2 linked regions of the Callithrix jacchus genome follow. The protein of the gene in region 1 purifies or fractionates together with the protein of each later gene. This does not show direct contact. Links are inferred from orthologs where the notes say so. Each region holds a gene or a part of one and is shown in the gene's direction. Other genes may lie near its edges.

Region 1 (2,723 bases):
CCTCAGCCTCCTGAAATGTTGGAGGACATGTTCAGTGAGCCTTCATTTTCATTATTACAGTCATGCTAATCGAAATCAGCTTCTCATTGGGGTTTTGATTTGCATTTCCCCATGAATAATGATACGGCCGCCTTCCCGAGGTACGCAGCTGTTTCTGTGTCACTGGAGAAATGTCTATTGAAGTCTTTTGCCCATTTTAAAATTGACTCGCCTTTTTAAAATTGAGTTGTAAGAGTTCTTTGTACGCCCTGGATGCTGCCCCTCATCAGAGAAATAATTTGAAAATATTTCTTCCCATTCTGTGGATTGTTTTTCACTTTCTCAGTAGGGCCCCAGAATTCATTTTTTTTTTTTTAATAAAAGATATGTCTCTTCTATTAAAAAACAATATGAGGCCTGAGCGTGGCGGCTCAGGCCTGTCATCCCTGCACTTTTGGGGCCGAGGCAGGTGGATCACTTGAGTCCAGAAGTTCAAGACCAACTTGGGCAACATGGAGAGATTCCATCTCTACTAAAAATACAAAAAATTAGCTGGTGCACCTGTGGTCCCAGCTACTTAAGAGGCTGAAGTGAAAGGATCGCTTTGGCCCAGGAGGTGGAGGCTGCAGTGCACTGAGATCGTGCCACTGCACTTCAGCCTGGGGGACAGAGTGAGACCCTGTCTCAAAAAAACAAAAACAACAACAAAAAACACCAATCTGAGCAAACATTTCCCTAAACCAAGTGAGGTTATCTCTGGGTAGTTTGGACGGTCACTGTTTCACTTCCAAGTTTACTAATCTTGCAAACTGGTAAATGGAAAATGAAAACTGCCCATCATTCGTTCATGCGACGATGAGTTACTACATCTCGTGAAGGACCCAGAATGCTGGATACTCAGGTGTTTCCAGGGCGTTGGGCAGGGGTGGGGACGCTGTCCGCTGTCCTGAGTCCCTGTCCCTGACCGTGCCCTTGAGACCCTGCCTACTCTGCTTCTGCTTTTCCCTCTGTTTTCGTCATTCTGTTTTGTTTCTTCTACTCACTCCCGGGCTTGCCTCGGGAAAAGGAAACTGAAACCGAAGCTGAATCTGGCCACTAGGCTCAGGCTCCCCTGGCACGCCCCCTGACATGTGCGGCTCAGGCTTATAAAAGGGCCGGTGGTGGCTCGGGAGCTGGCAGCCCAGAGGCAGCGCATTCATCTTTGCTGTATGGGAGCTTGTGCCACAGCCCACAGCCATGGTAAGGCAGATGCCACAGGTGGGGGCGGGGGGCTGCGTTCAGTCCATTTTCCTCTCTCTTCCCCAGCCAGGGTCTCCTGGGGGTGCAGGGTGCTGAGTGGTCAGCCAGGTGACCTGAACGTTCTCCTGAAAGCGGGTCACCCCGGAGAGTGTCGGGGTGGGGCACAGAGGGGCGTCCTAGCAGGTAAGGGGAGGCCACAAGGTGGCTGTGGGCAGCTGACCTTCTAGCAGTGACCCCTCAGTGCCTTCTGTGCCTGCGGTCCCTGCTGACAACATGTGGATGGAGCAGTATCCCTGGGCACAGGCGCTTGTGCAGCCAGAGCCTCATGTGTGGTGGGCCTGGGGCTGGTGCAGAGTCTCTGAGCCTGTGTGATTCCTGCAGGGCCGGGACCTGACAGTGAAGATGCTGGGGGGCCACGAGTTCCAGGTGCCCCTGAGCAACTCCATGTTGGTGTCAGAGCTGAAGGCAAAGATCACCCAGAAGATCGGTGTGCACGCCTTCCAGCAGCGTCTGGCCATCTACCCGAGTGGCATGGCACTGCAGGACAGGGTCCCCCTTGCCAGCCAGGGCCTGGGCCCCGGCAGCACCATCCTGCTGGTGGTGGACAGCTGTCATGAACCTCTGAGCATCCTGGTGAGGAATGACAAGGGCCGCAGCAGCACCTATGAGGTGGCACTGACACAGACCGTGGCGCAGCTGAAGCGGCAAGTGAGCCAGCAGGAGGGCGTGCAGGAAGACCTGTTCTGGCTGACCTTCGAGGGGAAGCCCATGGAGGACCAGCTCCCGCTGGGAGAGTATGACCTCAAGCCCCTGTGCACCGTGTACATGAATCTTCGCCTGCGGGGAGGCAGCGCAGAGCCTGGCAGGCTGAGCAGAGGGCCTCCTGCCAGCATCTGAGCAGGATCAAGTGCTGGAAATAAAGGTTGCTGCAAGGGGAAATGGATGCCTCTGTGTCTGCGCCTGCCCCTCCAGGGGCCATCTCTGATCTGACCCTGCTGATGGAGCTAGGGGAGGAGTCAGGAGGGAGAACTGCCTCTGTGTCTGCACCTGCCACTCCAGGGGCCACCTCTGATCTGACCCTGCTGATGGGGCTAGGGGAGGAGTCAGGAGGGAGAACACAGGGTATATCCTGGTGGCCAGGCCTGCGTTGCCAAGTGAAGGGCCTGCAGTTACAGCCTCGAGGGATCAAAATAGGGACCCCCCCAAAACTGAAGTAAGACAGGTCTTCCCACCCTTTGGGAAATTATCTTCTAGAGAAAGAAAAAGAGGTGCATTTGATGGAACCCACCTGGCCCTCCAGCATCTGGGACAGCAGACGGCTTGCACAGGGACCAGCCTGCTCAGATCAAAAGGCTACCAGGGAGGCTCATGGAAGCAGTGAGGGGTGATTCCTCGGGGCCTACCCAGTGGGCCGTGAGGCAGGCTCTGCACAGGAACTGGGGCTGGGGGCCTTAGTTATCCCTAGGCAGCATGCACAGCCTGCTCCACCTGCCTGGGCTGGGCTA
Region 2 (3,570 bases), about 7.5 Mb from region 1:
AATTCACTATTTTAATTCTGCTACAAACCAGATTTTCCCCAGGTCCCCCACACCCCTTTTTGGCCTCGTCCTAGTGGTTTTGCTTGTGACCTTCATGTCTGTTCTTGGTTCCTTTCCATTTCCGTGCCAGCCCTCATTGTTTGCTCATGACAGTAGCCAGTTTTGCATCTAGCAACACATTCATCTTTCCAGTTGGATTTGATTTCTCCCTGGGCACACAAATTGTTGGGCTTTTTCTCTTTTTTTGCTTACAGAACAAGACCACAGATGCTGGGGTTTAAACCATTTATGCCGGAGGTTCCAAATATTTTTTGTGAAAAATCAGACCTTGGCAATGACTTGGGCAGTAGGATAAAAATAACTCCCGCAAGCTTAGTGTTCCAATAATGGAACACTAGGAATAAATAGCTTAAGGCCTTCCAGAGCTGGGCCTAACTACTTATTTAGGAGAATTCCCACTGCTTTTCAGCAGGCTTCCCCCCACACCCTAACCAGCTTTCCAACATCCAATATTTAGTCCAATGCCGGTTCTTTCTAGTCCAGGAACCTCGGAGTGATTCCTTGACTGAGGAAGCAAATGCAGCATTACGGCTTGTGGAAAATATGACCTGTGTATCTCCCCCACAGAAATCCACCATGTCTATTCTCAAGATCCATGCCAGGGAGATCTTTGACTCTCGTGGGAATCCCACCGTCGAGGTTGATCTCTTCACCGCAAAAGGTATGTGCCACCCTGGTTTCCGCAGTTCCTTCCACCACGCTTCATTTTTAAAATTTTCTACAAATGCTGGAGCCTTGGGCAAAAAAAAAAAAAAAAAAAATCGATCAAAGCTTTTCTTTCTGTCTGCATGTGCTAGTAGGTTGTGATTCCTGACTAGCGGTGTTGGGGGATTTTTCGGCATGTAGCCAGTATCTTGGTGCCCCTTGGCTTAAAACCACATAAGTTGGTTGGCTCCTAAGTCAGTGAGGTAAGGAGGTAAGTAAGGTGATACCATTGAGACCTTGTCCCTAGAAGGACCCATCACTAGTTGTTGGCTGACAGCTTGCAGTGACCAAATATGGAGATAACAGCATGATAGGATGATTTCTCTTGATAGGGAAAGAGATCAGGGGAGGACCAGCAGGCATAAACTTAGCACCCTTATCTCTGTGTCTAGAAATCACTCTTCAGCAAGGATCAAGGACAGTTTTTACCTGTGGGCTTGGGAATAATCCAGAGGCTCTCATTTTTACCTGGCCATCAATCCCCATTGGAGGAGTTTTCTTAAGAAAAAAACAACAGAATGGGGAAACTCCTTCCTTTTACTTTAAGAAGAAAATCCAGTGCCTCTGTAGCCGTGCGTTACCTCTAGCACATGGCACAGTGGACAGGGTGGGTGAGGTTGGCAAAGGAGCTTCAGGCAGAATCATTCAGGGGTGCTAAACACAGAGAACTGCCAGTCAGAGCTGAGTCACCCGCTGTGAGTCGCCCTAGCAGTGGAACCCCAGCCCTTCCCTTCCCCTCCCCCTCAAGAAGGAAGGATCCTTGAGGCTCAACTTAACAGGGCAAAAGACTGCCTGTGTTCTGCCTCTGACTGCTTGCAGTGTGGGCTCCCAGGCACAGAGGGGTTTCTCCAGAATCCTGAGGGCTCTCACAGGATGCCAAGAATTTGCTTCATCCAATGAGATTGGTTTACTTAGTCAATGAGTGGAACTTTCTGCTTGAAAATTACTGAACTTCAAGCAACAAAAGACCCCAGATGTCAGGGGATTGTTCGGAGGCGGACATTATGTCTTAATCCTTTTTAAAAAATGAAATGATAACTTGTTCAGAACATTTCATCTTCATCTCTCTTCCTGTCTCATGGCCTTTTTTAGAGCAGTTTTAGGTTTTAGCTTCACCGCAAAAGCAGGCGGAAGGTGCAGAGGCCCGTGCACCCCCATGAACCCACGTGCACCCACTGCCTCTGCGCATGCGCAGCCTCCCCCATTGTCAACATCCCCACCAGAGTGGTGACTATGCATACACATTATCACCAAAAGTCTGCAGAAACCAACAAGTCTCTCGTTTTCAACTTGTCTTTGTCCGATCCAGTGCTGGGTGGATATGTAGGGAGCCCCAGGTCAGGTTCTAAGAAGAAAGTCCGTCCTAACATGCTGCAGTGCGATGGGGAACACCGGTGGGTCCTTTGCTGAAAATACCTGGTTGTTTTGGTTGGTTGGTTGGTTTGTTTTTTTTTTTTTGTCATTTGCCTTCACACTCCACACATCTCAAATGGAGAAATTTCTTCTACCTTCAAGTAGATTCAAGGGGCTGCCTACACTTTCCGCTCCCCTAAACCTGTCTGCCCCACCTATCTGCAACACCTTCCTTGACACCATCTGTTCTTTTACCTCCTCCAAAAATTGCTTTTGTTATGCTTAATGGCATAGGTTTCACCAGATGGCTGGTTTCCGAATCTGCAGGATTACTTGGTTCGATTCTTGTATTTATTAGACCGCACATTTTCTTTCTTTCTTCCTTCCCCTCGCATCCATACTCTTTGCTGGCTCCCAGTTGAGCATAGAACCCCCAAAATAGCATTTAGCATTGTCCAAACTGAAAGAAATCAGCTAGATATTCCTCCTGAGCCAATAAATTCCCTAATTTCATGCTTAACATCCATATAGTATCTGGTGGGGTGCAGTAGCTCAGGTCTGTAATCCCAGTACTTTGAGAGGCTGAGGTGGGTGCATCACGAGGTCAGGAGTTCAAGACCAGCCTGGCCAACGTGGTGAACATTTGTATTTCTACTAAAAATACAAAAATTAGTCTGGTGCAGTAGCGGGTGACTATAATCCCAGCTCCTGGGGAGGCTGATGCAGTAGAATTGCTTGAACCCGGTAGGTAGAGGTTGCAGTGAGCCGAGGTTGCAGTGAGCCGAGATCACGTCATGCGCTCCTCCAGCCTGGGGATATAGTGAGACTGTTTCAAAACAAGCAAACAAAAACATACATAGATAGATACACACACACACACACAGAGTACCAGAACATCTTCAATGCCCTGTATGGCTCGCACTGTATTTCTGTCAGGCAGTGCTGCTGGGATAATCCACAGGGCACTAACACAAGCTTGTGAGCGATACATACTCGGACTTCCAGGGTCAGAATCTGCATTTTAACAAGACCCCGGGTGGCATGCAGGCTCTACTGGAGAGCGGTTTCCTTCTGCTAGGGGAATTAGTCATCTTTGTAGTGAGGTTTGCAGTACAGGATTATAAGCACATGAAAAGCACTAAGAACAGGCCAGAGCATTTAAATCCCCCAGCTGGTAGGAGGAAGAAACAGTTCTCTAATGACAGATGCATCTGTGGGCGGGAGGGAGCTGGGGCTTGTGCTGTAACTGGATTTCTTAATTGCTACTGTTGTCTTTTTCCCCCTCATCCAGGTCTCTTCAGAGCTGCTGTGCCTAGTGGTGCTTCAACTGGTATCTATGAGGCCCTAGAGCTCCGGGACAATGATAAGACTCGCTATATGGGGAAGGGTAAGCCTTAAAACCCACAGCCCGTGGTCTCCCTGCCTCCAGCCCTTGTTCCTGGCCTTGCCCAG

Evidence for each region. The genes of interacting proteins can lie anywhere in the genome.
Region 2: the proteins of ISG15 (region 1) and ENO1 purify together in Homo sapiens (affinity purification with mass spectrometry; 4 studies listed by BioGRID, with this or other methods). This does not show direct contact. The link is inferred for Callithrix jacchus from reciprocal best matches to the Homo sapiens genes ISG15 and ENO1.

Annotation. Positions count from the first base shown.
Region 1 is NC_133508.1:39,229,031-39,231,753, forward strand, and holds ISG15 (ubiquitin-like protein ISG15), read left to right. Parts: upstream 1-1,153; 5' UTR 1,154-1,215; coding exon 1,216-1,218; intron 1,219-1,599; coding exon 1,600-2,115; 3' UTR 2,116-2,157; downstream 2,158-2,723.
Region 2 is NC_133508.1:46,738,310-46,741,879, reverse strand, and holds part of ENO1 (alpha-enolase), read left to right. Parts: intron 1-627; 5' UTR 628-636; coding exon 637-721; intron 722-3,409; coding exon 3,410-3,505; intron 3,506-3,570. UniProt on the Homo sapiens protein: Glycolytic enzyme the catalyzes the conversion of 2-phosphoglycerate to phosphoenolpyruvate. In addition to glycolysis, involved in various processes such as growth control, hypoxia tolerance and allergic responses.